4 linked regions of the Drosophila melanogaster genome follow. The protein of the gene in region 2 purifies or fractionates together with the protein of the main gene of each other region. This does not show direct contact. Each region holds a gene or a part of one and is shown on either strand. Other genes may lie near its edges. The genes, in order: Hpr1, thoc5, Hel25E and PCID2.

The links.
Region 1: the proteins of thoc5 (region 2) and Hpr1 purify together in Drosophila melanogaster (affinity purification with western blotting; 5 studies listed by BioGRID, with this or other methods). This does not show direct contact.
Region 3: the proteins of thoc5 (region 2) and Hel25E purify together in Drosophila melanogaster (affinity purification with western blotting; 2 studies listed by BioGRID, with this or other methods). This does not show direct contact.
Region 4: the proteins of thoc5 (region 2) and PCID2 purify together in Drosophila melanogaster (affinity purification with western blotting; one study listed by BioGRID). This does not show direct contact.

The regions. Positions count from the first base shown.
Region 1 is NT_033777.3:5,817,556-5,824,007, forward strand, and holds Hpr1 (Hpr1), read right to left. Parts: upstream 3,886-6,452; 5' UTR 3,778-3,885; coding exon 3,700-3,777; intron 3,633-3,699; coding exon 2,949-3,632; intron 2,792-2,948; coding exon 2,505-2,791; intron 2,447-2,504; coding exon 2,144-2,446; intron 2,090-2,143; coding exon 1,336-2,089; 3' UTR 1,239-1,335; downstream 1-1,238. Other genes in the region: CG42675 (uncharacterized protein), read left to right, coding at 1-512, 597-632, 694-1,203; CG46303 (uncharacterized protein), read left to right, coding at 4,526-4,792; Sec20 (secretory 20), read right to left, coding at 6,150-6,452.
Region 2 is NT_033778.4:23,952,522-23,958,497, forward strand, and holds thoc5 (thoc5), read left to right. Parts: upstream 1-1,569; 5' UTR 1,570-1,642; coding exon 1,643-1,717; intron 1,718-1,777; coding exon 1,778-2,572; intron 2,573-2,626; coding exon 2,627-2,739; intron 2,740-2,797; coding exon 2,798-2,885; intron 2,886-2,938; coding exon 2,939-3,475; intron 3,476-3,531; coding exon 3,532-3,774; 3' UTR 3,775-3,885; downstream 3,886-5,976. Other genes in the region: CG3803 (uncharacterized protein), read right to left, coding at 17-869, 928-1,060, 1,118-1,220, 1,302-1,394; CG16787 (uncharacterized protein), read right to left, coding at 3,900-4,661; alpha-Catr (alpha-catenin related), read left to right, coding at 5,669-5,698, 5,811-5,976. UniProt on the Drosophila melanogaster protein: The THO complex is required for cell proliferation and for proper export of heat-shock mRNAs under heat stress.
Region 3 is NT_033779.5:5,537,174-5,543,942, reverse strand, and holds Hel25E (helicase at 25E), read left to right. Parts: upstream 1-1,628; 5' UTR 1,629-1,760; intron 1,761-1,944; exon of another isoform or gene 1,945-1,973; 5' UTR 1,974-2,021; coding exon 2,022-2,220; intron 2,221-2,286; coding exon 2,287-2,510; intron 2,511-2,606; coding exon 2,607-2,790; intron 2,791-2,852; coding exon 2,853-2,971; coding exon of another isoform or gene 2,972-3,163; exon of another isoform or gene 3,164-3,642; coding exon 3,643-3,774; intron 3,775-3,833; coding exon 3,834-4,236; intron 4,237-4,298; coding exon 4,299-4,312; 3' UTR 4,313-4,617; downstream 4,618-6,769. Other genes in the region: Lam (lamin), read right to left, coding at 149-611; CG14015 (uncharacterized protein), read left to right, coding at 4,833-5,186, 5,260-5,855, 5,914-6,142, 6,211-6,483. UniProt on the Drosophila melanogaster protein: Required for mRNA export out of the nucleus. Probable RNA helicase that may regulate entry into mitosis by down-regulating the expression of other genes whose activity may be rate-limiting for entry into mitosis during embryogenesis.
Region 4 is NT_037436.4:11,623,781-11,628,854, forward strand, and holds PCID2 (PCI domain-containing protein 2), read left to right. Parts: upstream 1-2,660; 5' UTR 2,661-2,699; coding exon 2,700-3,887; 3' UTR 3,888-3,935; downstream 3,936-5,074. Other genes in the region: Akr1B (Aldo-keto reductase 1B), read right to left, coding at 334-418, 482-567; CG6083 (uncharacterized protein), read right to left, coding at 946-1,000, 1,071-1,772, 1,837-1,979, 2,136-2,204; Apt1 (Acyl-protein thioesterase 1), read left to right, coding at 4,674-4,721, 4,783-4,814. UniProt on the Drosophila melanogaster protein: Required for the export of nuclear mRNAs and involved in mRNA trafficking in the cytoplasm.

The sequences.
Region 1 (6,452 bases), on a different chromosome or scaffold from region 2:
GTAGGCGGGAGCTGATGAGCACGAAGTCAAGTGCCGAGAACCTGGCCACTGGAGCACCCAGTGCCGCCACCACCAGGTTGATCGGGAATGGGAAAGTGCGCCAGATGTTCGACGAGCGCCGCCGCGGGGCGGGCATTGATCGCAGCAATCCCCTCAAGCCGATCGGCACTCTGCCCTCGCCACCCGCCCAAACAAAATCTCGCCCGCAGCCCCCAATGCAGCGTCTCGTCAAGGGCGTGGCCGACTTGACCATGCGGGATGCACCAAATGCACCAGGCAGGAGGATCACTAGTGACAGCAATAACAATAAGTTCGCCACGCCCCGCGGGACTTTGAATCGCAACCTTAAGCCCGTGGTCACCCGCAAGACACCGCCGGCCCAGGAGACCACGCTCCACCAACGTTCTCCCGCGCCACAACGCAGTCCCAAGATTCAGGCGACCCAACGAGTAAGTGGAGGAACCGGTGCTGCCCCGACAGCCGGTCGTCTTTCGCCACCATTTGTTCGACGGGTAAGTAGCATCGACGTGGCACGGAGGTGTCAGTCTCAAGCTAAACATATTTGGGATTTATTTTAAATGTCTGTTTCCAACAAGGCGGAACCCAAATCACCAGTTAAAAAGGTCAACATGGTGAGTATAGCAGAATAATTGTCGGCAGTGGGCGTATAATAAGATTACCCTTCGCTACCAGGACACAACGACTGCAATCCCAGAGGGCACCGCTTTATGCCGCTACTGCGGACGCCACTTCAACACGGATCGTCTGGCGAAGCACGAGGAGGTGTGCCAGCGCATGCTGACCACCAAACGCAAGATATTCGATGCCTCCAAGCAGCGGATCGAGGGCACCGAGGCCGCGGCGTTCAATATGAAGTCGAAGGGCAATCGCAACCGTTCAACTTACAGTAGTGCTGCCCAGCAGAAGGGTCTGACCACTGGAGTGAAGAAGAACAACTGGCGTAAGAAGCACGAGGACTTCATTCAGTCGATTAGAGCGGCCAAGCAGGTGAAGGCGCACTTGGCGCGCGGCGGCAAGTTGAGCGACCTGCCACCACCGCCACCTTCGGAGAATCCAGACTATGTCCAGTGTCCCCACTGTGGTCGCCGATTCAACGAACAGGCTGCGGAGCGTCATATCCCCAAGTGCGTTAACATGGTGCACAACAAGCCCCGTAACGGTCCGCCGGCCAAGAGGCGTTGAGTGGTGATTGGGAATAGATATTCGCCCATTCTTTTACTTGTGATAAAGAAGTTTTATGATTGAAACGAAATTATAATAACTAGGGTGGGATCGGCATGGGGATGATGCTAATCAGAGAGCACCTCATCGTCGTTACCGGAGGCAGAAGGCGGCAGTGGATCCAGATTTTTCGCGCTCAATAATCGCCTTCACCGCTTCGGCGGCCTTATTCATCTCCAATCCCTCTAGCATGTACGCCCAGTTTTCCAGGGTGGCGTCGTCGTCATCGGATATCCAGTTTGTCAGCATCTTAACGCAGGCCACGTTCGCCGTAGGATGCTCCATTTGAAAGAAGAGAAGTTCATCGTTGGTGAAGCCAATCTTCTTTCCCACCTTCATCCATGGCTCGCCTATAAGGGGCGCCACCTCTTCGATATGCTCTTTGGTAACCATAAGGGGTTTCTCGTGCGCCGGTACCTCATCCACCTCTTCCACCACAGGTTCGTTGTCCTCTACTTCAAGATCCTGCTCTGGTTCACCGTCCTGAAGGGCGACCGTAGCATCCTGCTCGCCCTCCGTATGAACGTTGTTGACCGACAGGCCAAAATTGTTCTCAGAAGAGTTGTTCGATAAAAGGGCAGCAGGTTTGGGCTCTTTGTCCCGGATGAGACGTTTGCGCACTTGCTCAAGATAATCGGAGATCTTGCTCGATGGCTGAGAGAGCGACGTAAAGAAGTGCGGTGTTTGGCGGGCAAGCAAGCGCAGAGCTCGCCACTCAAAAGCGGGATCAACCTTTTCGTGCGGCGTTTCTAAATATGTCTCCAGCAGCGGTAGGAAGTTTCGCTGTTCACTTTTGCAGGCCTGCAAGTTATCTGGAGAGTAGTTCCACAAACGTGTTAGGTTGTCACTGGAAGTGAAATATTTTAGAACTGGCTTAGTTTGACTTACGTTCGATACTTACTTTCCCAAATAAAACTTGCCGCTGCGGGAAGCATCGCGCAGTGCATCGCCCAATGGACGGCGCGGTCTTTTATTGGGAGTTGGCTTCGAGTCCTCTTCGCTGAGAGTTGGTTCCTCGGGCTTCTTGAATTCCTTGCAGCCTTCGTTCTTCCAGTTGTTCCACATCTCTTCGCGGGCCAGCATGTGATACACTGTCCGTGAAAACCGCTTACCGTACGGTGGTGTCTCCTCTAGCAACTTATAAACACGCGACTCTGTTTCCTTGATAAAGTCCGCCTGGTCTGCAGTCAAGGTTTGAGTATCACTGAAAGTACAATCATTAAAGTTTGTTCGTTTTCCCTGGACTTTCTTCATATTCGAACCTTTTAAACTTTACACTGACTTGCAGGTACTGAAATAGAATTAGAAACTGCACCAGAACAGCACGTCGAAAATTAGCGTCGGAGAGCTGCAGAGCCAAAAGCTTGGGATTGGTTAGAAACTTGGCGAAGAAGTGATTCGCCTTGATGACGGAAGACACCGCCGTGGTGTCTACTGCCTCCTCGTCCACATCCATTGCTTGGTCAGTACCGCTCGCATTTTCGTTGCTACTTTGGCGCACGTCTTCCAGCTTGAAGCTCGAGAAGGACTGTAGTATGTTGTCAGCGTGCTGGAAGGGGAAAGTAACAATATATGAATATGAACCAACATGGGGCAGGATTATTAATAACCAATATTTATGAGCAAGCTAGCTGGCAAACATCTTTGATCTCTTTCCAAGATATATATATATTCTACAATTGTAATTGTGCCAAGCCACTGCTTACCATCTGGAACATCTTCCACTGCGGCTTATTGTAACACTGGTTGGGATTTCGGAAAAAGTCCTGCAGCGACCAAAACTTGCAGTACAGGTCGTAGTCGATCTTTAGGGGGATGTCCTCAGCGGTATCCTCCAGCTCCTTGTTGTCGCTTTCGTCGTGGTCTTTGCTGTCCAGACCGTACTCCGTAAAGTTGTCCAGGTTGAATTCGGAGACGATGTTGAGGCCAGACCGCTCCGAAAAGGGAAAGAACTTTGAGAGGAAAAGCTGGATGCGGCCACAGAAGACGGTGTTCTGGGTGCGCGAAAGTCGACGCAGCAGGTCGTTGCACATGCGTAGAATGTTGTTCTTGCATGAGGAAAAGAAGATCTCCTCCTTCCACACCTCCACCATATCCTCGACAAACTGAAATATCTTCTGGCACTTGTCCAGAGTGACCACGTCGAAGGTGTCGATCAGCAGAACCACGGGTATGGTGTTGGACACAATCTCGGCCCGCGTGGCTTCCACGGAGAGGCGTACAAGCTCTCCAATGCGACTCACATCTTCGTCCAGCCGCTTCATCAGGAGCACGCGGAACGCGTGGTCCATGGGTAAGCGCTTGTCGTGCTCGGTGTTGGCCGGGAATCTATTGTACTCCTTGACCAACAGCTCCACTTTGCCGTCGGTGATGGCCAATTCAAGGGCTTTCTGAAAATTATTATTTTCTATCAGATCGGAACATTGCCGGTTTCGGGGCCATTCATCAACGTTTTACCTCAAACGCCGACTGTAGCGCAAAGTAGTTGGCCAACTTCTCCGGAGCCGTGTTAGCCACTTCTACGGCGGTGCTCATATTGATTTAAATAATATTTTTGGCGACAACAGATAAAAACAATAAACTAATTTGTTTTTTCAATCAAAACATCACGAGTGCTGCCAACTCGTTTTGGTTAGTATATAATGCGCCGCTATAGTACTTTAAAGACCAAAAAATCGATGACAAATCGATTATAATTTTTTTTAGGCGCCTGTAAGTTAGTTTTTTTAAAAAAGTGTTTTTTTTTTTTTGTTAGCAAAATTTGTCCTTTTGCACCACATAAACCTGTTTTTGAAACACCAATTAGGTAATGAGGGTTTTTAGGTCCTATTCCTTAGAACATAATACTCTGTTTGTAAGCTTTTTTTTTCTTATTGACCCGAAAGACTTTTAAAAAAGCAACTACATAATATTTTTGTTAAATTGGTAACAAATATAATGAAAAAATATATTATTTTATTCTTCACTGCGATAAATAAAAATTGCATTTTAAATGCATTTCTCAAAATCGAATTTTTCTTATTAAACGTCAAAAACCACACATTGAATAAACTTTCATCATACATCAATTTAAAGGCCGAATGGTTTGTAGATAACGATAGCATTGAGCTGGGGCACGCGAACACTCCCGCTATCAGCTATTCCGACAATCACGCATAGATTTCAGATTCCAATTACTTTCCCACTGTGTGCGAGGTCGCACAAGCTTCATAAGTGCGCCAGGCGTATACAATGAGAATCGGGTACGGCTTTATTCCAAATCTTAAGCTCAGGCGAAGTGGCCATGCGCAAGTCGATTATATACATTCTGCTGTGGATTCTGGGGCTAAGCAGATTCTGCAGCAGCTCTGTGCTTAAAGAATTTTTTCCCGACTACAACTACCACAGGCCTTCTTGGTTCCAGTTCTATCCTGACTATTACAACAGAGGTTATTCCCAGCCACAGCCAGAAAGGCCTGCAAAATCGGCGCGGTCATACAAGGACATCTGCAGGTTGGTCAACACCAACGGATTCACAAACCCCGGAGGAGTGCCTAGGTGCCCTTACTAACTTGCTTAACATTTTTATCTACATATACAACACTCATATATTCTAAATAAAAATAAATTGCATTTACCATACTATACTAGGCTGTACCAAAGACACTAGAATAACAAGATGCGTAACGGCCATACATTGGTTTGGCACTATGCAGCCACTTTTTTGGTGACGGCCAAAATTACTCTCTTTCCGCTCACTCCCGCTTAGAGCGTAAGAAATCTAAAAATATAATTTGCTTGCTTGTGTGAGTAAAAACAAGAGACGAGAACGCGTATAAGTGTGCGTGTTGTGCTAGAAGACGATTTTCGGGCCGAAATCAATTCTGATCGAAGAAACGAATTTACATGGTACATATTAGGGTAGTTTTTGCCAATTTCCTAGCAATATGATAAAATAAAAAATTTTTAAAAATTCGCGCCCTGGCTATTATAATTTTAAAGCTTTTTTAAATTTCTTTGTTAAAATCGCCGCTCGAATTAGCTACCGTTTACACATTTGTATTTATGTTTAATTCTAATTTGTCTCTCATCTGACAATTTTTTAAAACCGAAATATTTTTTTTGAAACACTTTTAATGTTAATGTTACATCATATTAAGTCAAATGATTTAATAAATATACTAAATAATTAAATATGCAATTAAATTAAATTGCAAAAGTAATATCAAAGACAATAGAATTATTCTAGTGTCTTTGCTTTGTTCATATCTTGAGGCACGAAGTGCGGACACAAGCACTCAACAATCATTGCCTTATTAATTTTTCACACGCCGCAAGATGAATACTCTAATGACAAATATTCTTATATAAATTCATTTTTGAAATTTATTTTTGTGATAATATGTACATAGATTTGACTATTTCTAATCTATTTTCAAATAATAATAACGTTAAGGCAATGCAAAACAAGAATTTTTCGCATGGTGCCAATTGATAAAAAATAATATAGATTTAAAGCCAAAGAACTTCTAAGGTGAAGGGCATATTTTGTCAAATTTACAATGCATGTGAATACGTGTGCACACATACAGATGTCTGCTATCACTTTGTGCGTTGAAAAGAGCTGTTCGCTGTAGCGCTCTTCGCTCTCTCGCTCTCTAACAAAAATTCGAGAGAGCCTGGAGCCACCTCTAGAGCCACGGCCAAAAAATCGTGTGCCAAAAAATCGTATGGCGTTACGCATCTTGTTATTCTAGGGTCTTTGGCTGTACCACGTTTACAACTTAGGCAAATCACTAAATAATATAAATATAGGAGCTGTGCTTACAAGGTATGGTCATGTGCTAAGCTTAATCTAGCTATACCTAGACAACAGAAGCGACAACCTTAAGCTATTTTGGGAACGGGTTTTGTCCATTTGTGGAGTCTTAGAAGAGTCGCTTTTGGACGATGTAAAAGACACAGGCGAGGAACAAGGAGAAGGCGAAGAAGAGCAGCATTTTGTCAGTGCACTCGCGTCGTCCGTACTTTTTGAGCAGCTTGCCGGACATGCTAATGCTGCCGGCCGTGTGGTGCAGTTCGTCGCTGGTGGCCTCCACATTTTGCGACGAGGCCACGAGCGTTTCCAGGGTGATGGCGCTCTTCTGGGTGGTCTCCGAGAGGTGCCGCGATATAGCCAGCATCTTCTCGGTCACGTCGTTCTCCTGCGAAACCAGACTGCCCTGGTTGTG
Region 2 (5,976 bases):
ATAAACGCCTATTTATTTACTTCGGAAGGTACTTCAACAGTCGAACCTCGTGCGACAGCCACAATGCGAAACTCAGCAGAATAAGCGAGCCCGACTGGTGGGCCGTTGCCAGAGGCACGGGCACGTAGTTAAGCAAGGTGGTTACGCCAAGCGTGGCCTGCGTCCAGGCCATAGCCACCACGGCGTTGATGGCCCAGTTGGCGCGCTTGGGCAACTGCATCCTTCTGGTGACCAGCCACAGAGCGGTGGTCAGCGTTACTGTGCTAATACCAAGGATGCGGTGATTGAACTGCACCGTCGTCGGATTCTCGGTGATGTTCTTCTGTATGGGCGCAAACGTCCACATGTCATCGGGAATCCACTTGTCGCCCATCTTCGGGAACGAGTTGTACACGAGTCCGGCGTCTAGTCCGGCTACAAAGGCTCCAGAAATGGCAGTCAGCAGGACCATTGCCTTCGTCAAATGCGTCAGCCCCTTGATATTAAATGCTTTCTTGGCTTGGATCACGAATGTGTTCGTGGGGATGAGCAGGGACATGGCCTTTGACAGGGAGAGTGAGTACAGGACGAAGGCAGCTGCCAGGTGGGAGGCCAATCTATACTGGGATACCCGTGGCACGTCGTTGGGATCCTGGAACCTGTCTTCCAGCCCGGACTTGACCATGTACCATCCCATCAGACCTTGCAGGCCAATCAGTGTGCCCAGCAGCAGGACGCTCTTCTTGGTCTTCGCACAGAAGTATCCCTTTCTCCAGAAGTAAACAGCGGGCAAAAGGAAGAACCCGCCGATGGCACGACCCCACATCCTGTGCATGTACTCCATCATGAAAATGAACTTGAACTCCTCCACGGTCATATTCACATTCTTTCTGAAAGCAGAAGTTTGCATGTAGTTCCTGGCGTTGGATGAATCTGGGGAGTACTCACAGCTTGTACTCTGGGTATTGCTGGTAGAGATTGAACTCCTGCACCCATTCCTCCTGGGTTCGGGGCATACGTTCACCCGTCAGCTTCCAAGTGACCATGGACAGTCCGGACTCTGTCAGTCGGGTTACTCCGCCTGGAAGAGATTCACTTTCGCAAGGAACTACAAACTTTACATTTTGTTATTGGTTACCTAGACCAACGGCCACGAAGACCATGCCGCTGACTCCCAGGAACCATCTTCCGACGGTCTTGTCGCTTTTCGGAGTGCTGATGGGCTTTATCACTGGGATTTCCTGAAAGGTGCGGCATTAACAAATATTACTTTATAAATAAAAACATATTTTTATATGTAATCAGTGGGATATTAATGCAACCTTTATCGCTGTTTGCGCAATCGTCTGGTGAAGTCGGGGGCCGGGTACTACTAGCTTTATGAGATTGGTTCTCTTCTGGAGCAATCGCAGCATTGTGTTATTTCAAGTTTGGAGAGATTAACTTAAGCTTACAGCAAATATTAAAGGATATATTTTGTTTTTTAACTATATTTACAAAGCCGCTACCAAGTGTGACCGCAGCAGTGGGGTATGCGCATATACTAAAATCATTTTGAAAAGTACCGGCGAATGTTATCGACTCGATAGCCTGGCCACATTATATCAGTTTTGTTAATAAAAACAACTTTTGCGGCTTCTGATTTACAATTTCGCCAAATAAAATGGAAACAATATTGAACACGCAGTTCGATCAGCTGCAAAAGGCCATAGAGGGAATTAAGGAGGCGAAGAGCAAGGTAAGTCCGATTTCCGTGCCAGAGTACAGCTCTAAATCCGTCCACATCCGTCACGAGCAGGGGCAATCGACGGATGAGGCTCGCATTGCCACCACCTTGATGTTCGTGGCTCTGAAGCACGCCAACCGCGAGGTGAAGCACAAGATCAAAGCGGGGCGCGACAAGCTGCACCTGGAAAAGTGCAAGGTGGACCTCAGCCGGCTGCAGCTGCAGAATCTTCTGTACGAAGTGAGCCACCTGAAGAAGGAGATTGTGCGCTGCCAGAAGTTCAAGAGCAGGGACACCAGCTTGGAGCTGCTCTCGGAAGCCGAGTACTCCAGCGAGCTGCCAGACATGCCCAACGACGCGGAGGAGCTGTCCAGCCACAAGCAGCACCTTCATCGCCTCGACTGCGAGCTGCGTCTGCGGAAGGCACTCGACAAGCAGTACAGCGCCCTGCTGAGCTCCAAGCAGGAACTGCTCCAGGACAATCTTAGCCACGCCCAGCGGTACGTCTCCTTCGCACCCGCCTTGCGCACTCTGCAGAGCGCCACAAAGCCGCTGCACGATGCACTCCAGCTATCCCTGGACGTGGAATGGAAGCTAAGCGCAGTGGTCAAGTACCTGCCCAAGCCGCTCTACGTTTTGTTCATTGTCCTGCAATCGCTGCAGCGGGTCAGCGAGGAGCAGTCCTTCACCGCCGAGGTGGTTGGCTATGAGAGCGAGGCTCAAATGCAGGAGTTGCTTAAGGAGAAAAAGTGCTCCACATTGAACTACAGACAGACTAAAAAGGAAAGTGGAGACCGGGAAAAGATTGCCGATAAAAACAACTTGGACGACTCACTCGCTCCTCACCCACTACACATTTGTTTGACGGTAGGATGACATGGTTTGCTCATTCCAAAACATTTATTAACCTAAACTTTAAAGATTGGAGCGGCTGGATCGAATCAGCTCGTTTTGCAGATTCGCTACTTTGATTTTATCAAGTGTGCCACTGTCTGGGGCCAACTTAACTGCTCCAGGAATGCCAACGGCCAGGGGTAAGTTTGGAACACACCTAGGAAAAAATCGCATAAATAACTAGGCATTTTTTCACAGTGACACAAACTTTGTTCACCACCTATTGCGGCATTTGTACCCCAATGACTTGGGCAATGAATTACCCATTCCGGGAATCCAATACGAGGTAAGAACTTCCTTATCCAACGTTGGACAACCAATTAAATTACGCTCTTTCAGCTACGAAGCTCGGATTTAACAGCCGAGGAATGTGTGCGCTACCTCAAGGCCAAGGACTACGGAAAACCCTTCTGTTGGCTGCAAAGTATGTGCTCGATTGCAACCGTCAACAGTTCGATGCTGTACAAACACGAACTGAACTTGAATAAGAACAACAAGGAGATTATTGACCGCATTGCCAGGCGCTTGAACTCTTGGCAGCGTTTAAGCCAGCAGATTCGCGGGCTGACCTTCAAGGATATCGATTTGTATAGCTTGCAGGAGAACATCTATCCAGCCGGCCTGTCGTGCAGTCTCGTCCAATGGACTGCCATCACACATGAGGAGCTTCACTCGCAAATTTCAGACGCACTGAATTCTTCGTCAGCGGACAAGGGTATTACGTACAACTCTTACCGCGCTGTCATCGTCCGGGGATCGGCCAAAATGGAGTGCTTTATTAGAATACCGAGTAACTATCCACTGGAAATGCCTCTATGGATTCTGAATGTGCACTGGAACGGATGCCTTACCGCGCAAAACAATTCGGCGATCAAGGTTTGAACTTATTCAGGTATTATCCTCCAATTAGCTTTTAAACTTGTATTCCTCAGATGATGGAGTTCTGGACCAACTCCCTGCAGCCCAAACATTTGGAGCCCAACGACTGCATCCTGTACGCGCAGCTCTTCCGCACCATCTACAGCTTCGATATATTCCTCGAAACCGAGGGATCCATGCAAAACACCATTGAGTACAACAAGGAGAAGCCTTACATAAGCGCCTTCGCCAAGCGGAGCCGCTCACGCCCCTACAAATACATCAAGAAGGGATCGGTCTACGCGTTCAAGCAGTGACAGTTGAATAACGAATGTTGTACAACACAATGCGCCAATGCGGTTACTAAACGTTCTCACAGTTGCGTTTATTACGATTAGTAATACAATAAATAAGTAACATTTAAAGCTAGCTAGCTACGACTTCATTGGCAGTTGATCTTCTGGGAAGAGGTCGCTGCCAAGGATCCGGGAGGTAGTGCCGTCGCAGAAGGGTTCTCAACCGCCTCCCGACTCTCGTCCGGCATCACTTTGTCCACGACGTGCTTGACGATCAGCCCATCGTCGCCCAGATAGCAGACAGAGTAGCCGTCGTACCAGGCCTCCTGATCCTTCAGCACCTCCTTCAGTTGCCAGAGCTTGTACTTCCAGAACTGGAACATGACCTTCAGGCCGGAAATGCCGCGCACTCGCCACCTTATCCGCACTGTGTAGTCGTCCTGGTGCTTCGTGATCTTGAGCACCTCGAATTTCACGTAGGCGTACTTCAGGTGGCCAACCGTTCGCAGGATGGCGATCTGTTTGACGTAGTGGTACAGGCCCACCGTGTGCTTGCCCGTTATGTTGTTGTGGAAGATTAGGCCCGGGCTGTAAATGGAGTAGTCTAGGGGCTCCACGAACAGCTTTGGTAGCGTGGTCCTCAGAACCTCGTAGGCTCTATCCAGGTCCTCGGGCTTACGCTCGTTCTCCTTAGGGTTCCCGGGCAGCCTCTCCGCTTTGGTGCTCTCGTAGGCCCTTCGACTTTGCTGGAGGTTATTGGCGGCATGGCTGTTTAACAACTTTTGTGGACACTTCGCCGGCGCAGACGCACTTAGCCGCATGGCGGACGCCCACGCCCGCTCCTTGGAGCACCAGTTGGCCATCCAGCTGCTCCTTCTTATTGATGAAATCCCGAAATTTCGCAACATCTTGCAAGGACTTTGTGTGCTACTTCCTTCACCGGAACTGGGTTTCCTCGATTCAGATCTGCCTCGTCTGCAGATCACACCATTCAAATTGAACTTAGATCCTGGCTATTTTTCGTTTGCGGCCCTCAGGAATTTGACGTGCTCGTGTTTAGGTAACAACATTTGGAAATAAAATACTCGGCAAAAATCATATGGTCGTTGGGCTGCAGTGTGGCCAGACTGTGTGTAATGTCCCAATAGCTGCGAGTGCCAGTGTGGATGTTAGGGGAACTCCCGTTGTCCAGGGTTGTCATGCCGGATTAGTTTCACAAATTAACTTCCGCAACCGGAAGTCATGAAAATGGAAAATATAACTTATTTGGTTTGAATTTAGTGTTTCAAGCTTATTACATGAAATATGTTGTCTCTTTTTTGAAGTGCAATAATCTCAAACACTTTTCATTTATGTAAGTACATGGTTTTGGAGTTGCCTTATGCGGTTTTCTTGGTTGTTCTTCTGATAAATGTTTGGTACCTCAACAAGCATCGAATCCAGGCACTCGCATCCGCATCGAATCCCACAGGAGGCGTTTGACGAGAAACTGTTGCACTTTACAGTACTAAATGGTTTTGTGCGCAGACTTGCTGCGCAGACCAATTTGTTACAAGCTCGAATCACACACAAATCTGGGGGCATACACATATATCTGTCTGCAGGTAAACACGTTGTTTACAGCCACCCAGCTATATAACACTAATTTGAGCTGAGGAGCTTTCGCTGGCTGAAAAATCGACTTTTATTTGAGCTTAAACCCATAGAGCCTCGTACTATGACGCGCTAATCGGTGACCGTATTATTGAGTGCCAAATTCTCGACTTAGTTGCAATGTCTACTCGACTCTGCTAGCCCTAGTATTGAGAAAAATCAATAGGAAGTAAATAAAAATGCTGCATGCCTGAAACTCGCTTTGCGGATACTCTTAAACTACGTATAATCAATTTTTCTATCGGTAACCGAGCTATCCAAAATGTACGGAATCACTCAATCAACTGTTAACGTAAGTACCCAACCGGCTGTCCGGGATAACTTTCCGTTCTAGTCCTCAGCGATTATTGATTGGCCTTGAAACCCAACCAACTGCCAATGTGGGCTCTCCTTCCCCTCTCCAGAATCAACGCTTTCGAGTTCGTGATATGGATAACGAGCAGATCATGTCCACTTTTGGGAACATAGGTCACCTGCTGAACATTGCCGTGGAGCGATTTATAACCATTGGCGAGATCATCGCCGAGGAGAATATTGACATCAAGGGAGACATGTACGAGGCGGCGAAGG
Region 3 (6,769 bases), on a different chromosome or scaffold from region 2:
TATATACAGTTCAGCAACTAAATGAATGTTTCGTTCTTGCTTGAAACCACGCCTTTTGTCTCTTCTTACTTTTAATTTTATCATTACTCTACTTTCTTTGCCCTACAATTATAAGGTTTTCTTATCGATTCAGTTTCCACGCACTTACCCTCAGCAGTGGTGCACTCCTTGGTCTTCTTGTCCAGCTTGTTCTTGAGCTCCTCGTTCTCCTCCCAGAGACGCTTGATATCGATCTCGGCACGAGCGCGATCCCTAGCTGTGTCATCGAGCAGACGGCGCGTCTCCAGCAGCTCGGCCTCGAAGATGTTCTTGATGTTGGTGGTCTCGCGTGTGACCGTGTCCCTGGTGGTCTGCACCTCGATGGTGAGGCGGGAGTTCTCCGTCTCCAGGTTGCGCACCCGGTCAATGTAGGTGGCCAGGCGATCGTTCAGGTTCTGCAGCTCCACCTTCTCGGCCACGCGCGAGTGCCGGGTGGGGCTGAGGGGGCTGGAGGCCGTCTGCGAGTGAGTGGACGGCGGCGGCGGCTGCGGACCCGCCGATGGCGGCCGGGGGGTGGAGGTGTTGCCGGGCTGCGGCGTGGCGGTGCCAGCACGTCGGGATTTGCTCGACATGTTCACGCTGCAAGACAAATGAAATGTGCAGAATAACACGTGAGATTTTTGTGACTGACCTCTTTAGGACACAACACTTGAAGAAAAGTTGAATAACACAATTGCGTGCCTTCTAAACGCGTTTTATATGCAATACTTATATTTGAACTTTTTCGTTCGGTGTAGGGTATGTTATTTTTGCGCCCTGATAAAATTCCAAACAGAACCGAACACGAAAGAGGGGAAACGCACAAAACGCTCAAAAACAGAAGCTAAACGAGTTTCTCTAACGCGCTCTCTCTCTCTCTCGCAGTCTCCTCTACGTCTCACTCACACACACGCACATCGCTTTCCACTCAAGCGACTGTACTAAAGCGGACGAGGAAAACGAAGTGAGTTTGTCGGCGTTTGTTTATGGGCGTGGAGGCAAATGGCGCGGCTAATACTAGTTTAATCAATCGCAACGCTTAGCTAATCCAGTCGACGCACTTTAAACGATTTGATAAGGAGCCAAAAATTGCACAATATGGCGATTTTAATTCAATATTTACAGCGACTTTACACTAATACAGGCAGGGGGGTTATTTCGATTTTGAGTGAAACAGTGCCGCCTCTATTGTTCGGCACTTAATCAGTTATTTCAACTTTTTCTACAAGTTTTCCTAATGCTCGTAGATAGCAGCGCAACTCACCTGACTTTTTATAACGAACGGAAAATGCACAAATTTGAAAATGAAGTATCTTGCAGCAGGAAAACGCGGCCGACGCTGGAACGTGTAATCGAATTTGTTGCGATGGTTTCAGAGACTAATCGATAACTTTCCGGCATGCCTGGTGTGACCAAACGCCGCGCTAGATAAAAGACTAAGAACCGCTTGACCCCAAAATGATAAAAAAAAAATTAAATTTAAGCTCAACAAGCCATTTTAATTTAAAGCGTTAGAAGGCATATATTTTATAAAAACTTTTTAGTTGAAGCTTACAAATGGATTTGTTGTGCACAACTATCGATAACTTAACGATATCACCCGGCTCAGCTCGCATGAGTTCTTAAACGTACTTCGGTCACACTGCTCTGCGCTGTTTTTTCCTCCGCATCACGTTAAAGATTTTAAAATAGTTAATTTCACTTTAAAAGCTGTATTTTAAAGTGATAAACGTGCACAAAAGGTGAGTTTGACACTGAAAATCACACTGCACTAAATAAAATCGTCGCTTGTAATGGGTATTTCGTTTTATTTCGAAATACATGTAATGCGGTGCGGTGAAAAAACAAAATGGCGGAGGGAACGCCGGCACCGGTTCCGCAAAAAAAAGCGGCATTTTCTTTAACAAACACATGTAACTTATCTAGTCGCACCCATTTTATTTCCCAGCATTTAGTTGCGAATTTATAGCCGATAACTAGTTAAAGGTAAGAAAGCCGCAGAAATGGCCGACAATGACGATCTTTTGGACTACGAGGATGAGGAGCAGACCGAGACCACTGCGGTCGAAAACCAGGAGGCCCCCAAGAAGGATGTCAAGGGCACCTATGTGTCCATTCACAGTTCCGGCTTCCGCGATTTCCTCCTGAAACCGGAGATCCTGCGCGCCATCGTGGACTGCGGCTTCGAGCATCCCTCGGAGGGTGAGTACTTGCACTCCACCTGGAGTGACGAAAGGTACAGTCACTAACGATGCTCTCCGCTTGCAGTTCAGCACGAGTGCATTCCGCAGGCCGTACTGGGCATGGACATCCTCTGTCAGGCCAAGTCCGGCATGGGTAAGACCGCCGTCTTCGTTCTGGCCACGCTGCAGCAGCTGGAGCCGTCGGACAACAACACCTGCCACGTCCTGGTCATGTGCCACACCCGCGAGCTGGCCTTCCAGATCAGCAAGGAGTATGAGCGATTCTCCAAGTACATGCCCACAGTCAAGGTGAGTCTACGTTTTAATCCATTGTATATAATTCAACAAAAAGTTTGGTTCGACTATATAGTTACTATATATTAATTCGATATGTTTTCTATTTAGGTGGCTGTCTTCTTTGGCGGAATGGCTATTCAAAAGGACGAGGAGACCCTCAAGAGCGGCACCCCGCATATTGTGGTGGGCACCCCTGGCCGAATTCTCGCCCTCATTCGCAACAAGAAACTTAATCTGAAGCTTTTGAAGCACTTTGTGCTCGACGAGTGCGACAAGATGCTGGAGCAGCTGGGTAAGTTGACTAATAATCACCAAATGACGGACGTTTTACTAATAACCAAACCATTCTTTTAGATATGCGTCGTGACGTTCAAGAGATTTTCCGTAGCACGCCGCACGGCAAACAAGTGATGATGTTCTCTGCCACATTGAGCAAGGACATTCGTCCCGTTTGCAAAAAGTTCATGCAAGATGTAAATATCAACGTGTTCATAACCAAAATGCTCGTACTTCTCCACCTCGCATCCACCGCTATCACGACAATTAGTTATTATTTTGTTAATGCCACGCGATATCGAACATTCGATCTTGATCCCCTCCGTATAAGCCAACCACCATCTTGCAAATGGTTAAACGCGTACAACCAAACGTCCAGCGCTCTGTGAGCATAACTCGTATCGAAAAACTTAGTTAATGACTATCGGACACCATTTTCTAAATGGTTAATCGTGGAAATTGGCAACCGTTGCAAAAGCATAAACAAGCAGTAACCGCTGAATGAATCAATTGAAATCGCAAAAGATTTAACAATACCAACGCTAGCAAAAACCAATACCTAAATAAAACTACAAGCAAACAGCAAAGATCCCGCCGACTGGCCGATGAGACGAGTTGAATCAATCCAGAGCGAATGCGATGCGATAGGCCCGCTCATCTGTAATCCGCACACTTCTCAGAGCGATCATCGATCCTCGGGAGCAGTTCAGAGACTAGTTGATGAGATGTGGTGGTAGCGTGGCCGTATGTAGAATATTCTATGCATATTGTTGTATGTTCCGAGGCGAGCCTAGTCTAAGTTCGATTTCTCTGTACCCCTCCTAATTGTGTCCTTTAAAATGCGCCACATTCTATTTCCCAAATCCAGCCCATGGAGGTCTACGTCGACGATGAGGCCAAGCTGACGCTGCACGGACTGCAGCAGCACTACGTCAATCTGAAGGAGAACGAGAAGAACAAGAAACTGTTCGAACTGCTCGACGTGCTCGAGTTCAATCAGGTAGGTCATTCGGTGGTCTTAACTTATATTTACCACTTACTTGATTATCCCTGTCATAGGTGGTCATCTTTGTGAAGTCTGTGCAACGTTGCGTGGCTCTGTCGCAGCTGCTGACGGAGCAGAACTTCCCCGCCATCGGCATCCATCGTGGGATGACCCAGGAGGAGCGTCTGAATCGCTACCAGCAGTTCAAGGACTTCCAGAAGCGCATTCTGGTGGCCACCAATCTCTTTGGCCGCGGCATGGACATCGAGCGTGTGAACATCGTGTTCAACTACGACATGCCCGAGGATTCCGACACCTACTTGCATCGCGTGGCCCGTGCCGGTCGCTTCGGCACCAAGGGACTGGCAATCACATTCGTTTCGGACGAGAACGACGCCAAGATACTTAACGAAGTACAGGATCGTTTCGATGTGAACATCAGTGAGCTGCCCGAGGAAATCGATCTCTCTACATACAGTAAGTTGCAATGATGAGTAATCCCCAGCCACCAGCAGTGCTAACTTGATTTTCTTTTCCAGTTGAGGGACGCTAGAGCTCGAAGGTGCATGTTAATCGGAACAAGACTATGCACTTCGAATAGATACAAACCTAAAACCTTTTTTAAAACTCTACTTTATAACTAAATAAAAACTATTCAGACAATGTGTTGACAAACAAAAACGGAATTATAAGTAATGTATTTATTTTGGGAATGGATTCTAAAACCCACTTGTTTCACATTTCCGTTTAAACTATTTTATTTGTGAAAATTTCTGGGGCATATTCCCTTAAATAACTTAGCAATATTAATGTGTACAATATTATAAATCAACTCACAATAAAATGTCCAAAAAAAATAACAAACTCGCATATGCTTTAATGGTGAAATGGTAATTGGGAACTCGCTGGGCATAGTTTAGTGTGTCCGTTTCAGGACATGCGCAATGGCCAGGAACTTCCGGCAGCTGCATTGCGACAGGAAGAGAAGGGGTTGTGGGGTGGAGGTACGAAAAACTGGGGACGAAAAACAACGAGGACGTCCAAACAATGAGAGAAAATGCACGCTTGCGAAAATGCTGCTAAAAAAGTATGTGAAAACGCGGCGTAAGCTGAAGATTCTACTCCTGCTGGCCATCGTCGCCCTGCTGGTCATCACCATCATAGTGCTGGGCTCCAGCGGACGCAATGCGGCCATCGAACTGCTGCTGGACGAGCGATTCATCGCACGCGCCTACAGGCCCGGGGATCAGCCCCAAGTGGCGGAGAAGCCGCCGCCGGTGGCCGTCGCGCTGCTCCAGCCGCAGCGGGAGAACGGAGTGATTGTGCCCGAGAAGTATGACGAGCAGAAGATCAAGGAGCGCATCATTCAGAGCAAAATCGATCTGATGAAGCAGCAGCAGCAGCGGGACCACGAGGCGGAGCAGTCTGTAAGTTTCCAGTTCAGTCCAAGAAGGTGGCCAATCTTAGTCCTTAAATCTTAAAAATGTACACTTTGTTCAGTCGCGTACCACTTTGGATGTGGTGATCAGTGCAGTGCACATATTCTACACTGCCCCGGTGCCGTGGTACAAGTCGAAGAAGCCGCCTCCGCCGCCAGCGGAGCACCCAAACGATGTGCCACTGACCACGCCGCGACCAGTGCGAATCCTAAACACCGCCTTCTATCCGGCACTGGGTCTGTACAAGCCCAGTGGCTCGCTGCTGGCCCAGCATTTCGAGAACATACGCAGCTGTGGCATCGGTGTGCTCATCCTGAGCTTCTCCGGTGGCAAGCCCGCGGAGGCGGCACTGCTGCATCAGATCTTGGAACTGGCACCGCAGCACAATCTTAGCGTTACCTTTGAGCTCAGTGTGGCCGGGAATCAGAGCGTGGAGTTTGTGCGCCAGCAGCTGCAGGAGATTGCCACATACACCAGCCTAGCTGGATTCTACAAGGTGTGGAGTCAGTCGAGAGGTGTCTCCCTGCCGGTTCTCTACGTGAGCAATGCCTACAAGTTGAGTGATAGTCTGGGAAGGCTGTTGTGTCGATCGCCTTCGCTGGTGGAACCGGATGGTCTGCGGAGAATTCTGGATGCCTTATTCATTGGACACATAAGGTGGGGTGCGCCTTAGATTATCCTAGGTGATTCTATATATCCTTTCGTTTCTCTCCAGGCTCAAAAGCCATGCCGATGTCCTGCGGAGGTTGTGCTTCGATGGCTTCTACAGCAAACTGCCCAGCAATGGAGCTGTCTTCGCCAGCACTTGGAAGAACTGGTCGTATCTGAAGTCATTTGCGCTGTCCTACAAGATGCTCTTTGTGCCCACGGTGGGTCCGGGATTCGCGGAGAGGAACAAGTTTCCGCGACACGGAGACATCCAGCGGCATCGCAGCAATGGACGGGTGAAGGAGCAGCCATCAACTGGAGTGCCAGAACAGGCTACTAATACTAATATCATTTGATCTTGCAGTACTATGGCGTGGCCTGGCGGACAGCCATTCTCAACCACGTGGGCTTCATCAACATAGCCAGCTACAACAACTGGCCGGATGGCAGCCAGATCGAGGAGGTGATGCCACGCGCCGGCTTCCTCGACTACAATCCGGGCTCGAGAACGAAATATCTGGATCTCACGGCCCATTGGGTGGGCAACTTTCTGAAGACGCGACAGGAGGCGGCGGCAGCAGCCTCGCCAGCATCGCCGCCCAACTGTTACGAGCTGCTCAATGGAACCATATGCTAGGAGCGCACCAAGTGGGACTAGTTAGGAGCGCAGCGGAGATAATCCTAGTTACTTTAGAAGCAATAGCAACGATTGCAGGCCACTCAATTACTTTCCAACTGTTAAGAAGTCTTCTGCTGCACACATTTACACACTGCATAAATATATCGTTTTGATAGTGATATTTTTGAAAACGCGCGCCCAAATGTCGAGTTTTTTGGCGGGAAATGCAACGCACTTCATTCCAATTACATAAGTAATTTAAGTACTAAACGCCAATCAAAAAAAGAGAATTTTGAGAAGAGGT
Region 4 (5,074 bases), on a different chromosome or scaffold from region 2:
CGGAGGACAGGGCTGCATAGTCGACAAGCCGAACAGCTGAGCGATCGTCAGTTACGCTTAAATATCGAGTGCTGATATACTCTCTATATAGCATAAAAGAAAATATATATTAAACTAAATCAATTAAAACATTTAATGATTTCAATAAATGATACTAAAATGTATCATTTTACATATGTTATGATCGCTATAAAATTTCAAAAGCCCTTCAACCATATAGGCTCTTTATGATCGCTATGTAAAAATTTTTATATCCATATCTTCGTAAAAATATGATTATTTATCAAAACTATGGCATAGATATGAAAAAACAGACATTGTCATAATATTTACATTGAAAGTTCCGAGCCCAATTACTGGAATCTCATTTCCGTCCAAGCAAACCACCTTGGGAGCTCTAGCATACTCCTTCTGACACCTACAATATTTGTGGAAATTATACTTTTGATGCTTTGTTCGATTTGATTTTCCTATATATTACCACATAAATCGCTCTGGTTTCCCATAATTCCTCAACGTAATGCGAAAAACAGGCCTAACCAATTGAATTTTCATTAGAGTGTTCATTTTGCACGCCAGTAAATTTTAATTATTTGTGTAGAGACTTCTTGACGGATGGAATGCAATGGCTACTTGGTTTTAGTATTGAAGCCTAAATGAAAAATAGCAAAATAAATGTGTATATAAAAATAAACAGCCACATTTTAAATACAGCTTAAAATGCCCACCAACTCAAAGGCTACAATTCGATTTTACACACAGCAAAACAGTTTAATTATATTATATTATTATATTGTATAACAATAATTATGCTAGACTTCTCAGTATAAAGGAAGTACCTGGACATCATCAGTATAACTCTGCAGATCGCCGCATACAATCTTACTTATCACATTAAAGGCAATCAGTTTAAATAACTACTTGTACTTCTAATATTAATTAATATTAATTATCTACTTTGGCTTTGGGTTCAAATGGATGATGAGGATGTCCATAGGCCCTAGGAGAAAAATAGAAAGATTCGAGATATTTCAAGTTAAAACCTAGGAAATGAAAAGAGCAACACCTACGCCTTCATGGTCATAAAACGCCCATTGCAGTCCAATTCGTTAATGGCCTGTATGTCATCGACGGCCAACTCAAAGTCCCAGATTCGCTTAAAGTTGTCCAACATGTGCTGTTTGCTTACTGATCTTGGGATGACAATTATACCCGATTGTGTCTGAAAGCGTAGGAGCACCTGTGCCGCAGTCCTTTCGTATTTCTCAGCTATAGCCAAGATGGTCGGATGCTGGAGCAGTGGATAAGCGCCGGGCTTCTCGTAGGGCGTATGTCCCGATCCCAGGCAGCTGTAGGCGGTCACAGCAATGGCATTGTCATAGCACAGCGTAATCAATGGCTTCTGACTAAGGTACGGGTGGCACTCGATTTGAAGAACTACCGGTTTAAGCTTGGCCACACTGAGAAGTCTATTCATCTGCTGCTCATTGAAGTTAGACACACCGATGGCCTGGCACAGACCCTCGTCCACCAGATTCTCCATTGCACGCCACGTGTCCACATAGTCGATGTCCTCGAATGCGGCCTTATTGGTGTCCGGACACGTGGGATATAGGTTGTCACTGCCCGACTTGTAGGCCATGGGCCAGTGCATCAGGTAGAGGTTTAGGTACTTGACTCCCAAGTTCCTTATGCTTGTCTCACATGCCGGGCGCACCAAATCCGGCTTGTGGTGTGTGTTCCAAAGTTTGCTCGTGATGAAGAGTTCATCTCTGCAGTGCAATATGTATTTATGGCTTAGATAAACGATTGATTAGGCCTGAAAGCAGCACTTACCGTGTGACCACTCCCTCGTCCATTTTCTCCCGGAGAGCAGCTCCCACTTGCGCCTCATTGCCATAGATATGAGCGCAGTCAAAATGGCGATAGCCTATATCAATAGCATCCTTTACTGCTTGGGTCACCACTTCCGGCGGGCTCTAAAATGGCGAATAAAACGTAAAAAGCTGAGGTGCATCAAAAGCTTTTGCTTGACCCCGAAGAGCTTTGACATTGACCGTGAAATATGCAGTGGAAATGCACATTTCAGCTGGCTATTATTTAATAACAATATATATCTATGTAAAAGTACTTACCCGCCAAGTTCCGAGACCCAACATAGGCATATTTTTACCATTGCTCAAGAGAAAATTCGGTGTCGACATGTTTGAATCCTTTTGCTCCTTGTGAAATATGTTGTTGCACTGGCTTCGTTTTTGGAAAGCTTTAATTTGTAATTTACTAAGTGAACTATACTCAAAGGCCTATTAAACTGGCTAGAAACAGCATGTCTTGTGACAGCTCTGCTATCACAACTATATGTACGAAAATTGTTTAAATTTAGAATCTTTTGGGCAAGCAAAAGACCTTCGCGGAATATAATCGATTCGCTGCAGAGGGAAATTTTAAAATTTAAAACAAAAAACTCTTTTTCTGCGTTCAGAGTTTTATTTTATAAACCGAGTATAATGTAAATAAATACCTTTTTTTAATAAAATAAAATAAAATGTTAAAAAAAAAACTTTTGAAAAAATATTCTTTGTATTATCGCGTTATAAAAAACAAAGACAATCGATAGAAGTTTCCGATGAAAACATCGCATTCGCAGATAGTGCCTGACCTACCATCTCTAATTTTGCCGCCTGCGAAAAACACAAACAATGTTCGGCACCGTAAATAACTATTTATCCGGCGTTTTGCACGCCGCCCAGGATTTAGATGGCGAGTCCTTGGCCACGTATCTCTCCTTACGAGACGTGCACGTTCAGAACCACAATTTGTACATTGCCCAGCCGGAAAAGTTGGTGGATCGATTCCTGAAACCGCCACTGGACGAAGTTGTGTCCGCCCACCTGAAGGTGCTGTATCACCTGGCACAGGAGCCTCCTGGTTACATGGAAGCCTACACCCAACAGTCGGCAGCCTGCGGAGCCGTTGTGAGGCTTTTGCAGCAGCTGAAGGACGAGAATTGGTGCCTGCCACTAATGTACCGCGTGTGCCTGGATCTAAGGTACTTGGCGCAGGCCTGCGAGAAGCATTGTCAAGGATTCACACCTGGCCACGTATTGGAGAAGGCTGCCGACTGCATAATGGCCTGTTTCCGCGTTTGTGCCGCTGATGGACGAGCTTCAGAGGAGGACACCAAGCGTCTGGGCATGATGAACCTCGTAAACCAGCTATTCAAGATTTATTTTCGAATCAACAAGTTGCATCTGTGCAAGCCCCTTATCCGTGCCATCGATAATTGCATCTTCAAGGATTCTTTTCCGCTGCCGGAGCAAATTACCTACAAGTATTTTGTAGGTAGACGGGCTATGTTCGACTCCAACTACCAGGCAGCCGTACAGTATCTGTCGTATGCCTTTAGCAACTGCCCGGATCGGTTTGCCAGCAACAAGAGGCTCATCCTCATCTATTTGGTGCCAGTGAAGATGCTGCTGGGATATCTGCCCAGCAAATCCTTACTGCAGCGCTACGATCTCCTGCTGTTTCTCGATCTGGCTATGGCCATGAAGGCTGGCAATGTGAATCGCTTTGATGAGATTGTCAGGGACCAGGAGCTGGTGCTGATCAGGAGTGGTATCTATCTGCTGGTGGAGAAGCTCAAGTTCCTCGTGTATCGCAACCTGTTCAAGAAGGTGTTCGTCATCCGGAAATCGCATCAGTTGGACATGGGTGACTTCCTCTCCGCCTTGCATTTCGTTGGCTTAACCGATGTTTCTCTGGACGAGACGCACTGCATCGTGGCCAATCTCATTTACGATGGAAAGATTAAGGGGTACATCTCACATGCTCACAACAAACTGGTCGTGTCGAAGCAAAATCCATTCCCCTCAGTGTCCCTTTAGTGCATTTTGTAATTATTGTGAATTTTTAAGAGTAAAAGAATCCAATTTAATCAGTGTATTAGTTTACTGGATGGGGCATGTGAATGGAGGGCACCAACGATGAGTATAAGACCTGAAGACTTTGAATTTAAAGTACCTTCAATTCTATTTGGTTATAATTTTGTTTGGTTTTTCGAAACCTATATGTTTCAAATCAACTTATGAACTAATAATATAATTTTTGGTTATAAATATGTTTATTTTTCAACGGTTTTAAACTAATACCACTTTTTAAACTTAATCGAACTTTGGAATTGATATATATCGATTTTTGTGCTCGAACCGATGTATCGACAGCGGAATCGGTTTCGGTCACATCTCTAGGTCCACCGACTATCACTCATCTCTGAACTTTTTGGAACGCAGCTGCATGAATTGTCGTAGTTGAGCGAATTTAAACAAATTAACACAATACTTGTGGTATTACCTGGTAAATGATTAGAGCCTCATTCGCGCAAAGTGTACATAAGACAAGTGGCGAAGATTAGATCTAGTTAGCTAGTAACCATTTCTCAGCCGGCGACGTGTTGTCATTTTCGCAATCGTAAAATCAATATTACTAATTTTGCTTTGCGTTTACAACGTGACATAACTAAAACGCAAACTACAAAGTGTTTCTTTTTCACTGCATTGCAGAAATCCGCTGACACCGAAAAAAGCGACGAAAGCAGCGCCAAGTCGCCGAATCGCAGAGTACCTGGAATAGGAATAGTGCGTCCCCAGTAGAGGCTAAACTGAACAGCAGACATGGCTGCGCCGGTCATTGTCGAGGCCACGGTCAAGCAAACCGCCACGGTGAGTAGTCCGCCGTAGTCCAAATTCCGGAAGCCCTCGACTAATCACTTGTGTATTGCAGCTGATCTTCATGCACGGCCTGGGTGATACGGGGTAAGTGGGGTCATCCTCATTCAAAATAATGCTCCCAAAGACTTCATTCACAAAATATTGAAGTATGCGAAACAGAAATATTTGCACATATGAAATTAAAAGGATTTTAACGCTTCAGTTCCTATGGGAAAAAAAAACAATTTATAAGCGCTTAGGGTGTTCTAGATTCAAGTAACTGATGAGAAGCCTTCAGAGTATTCCCCAGTTAAGCTCATTATGTATATCCCATACCATTTTAAATTCGTTCTTCCTTTTAAATT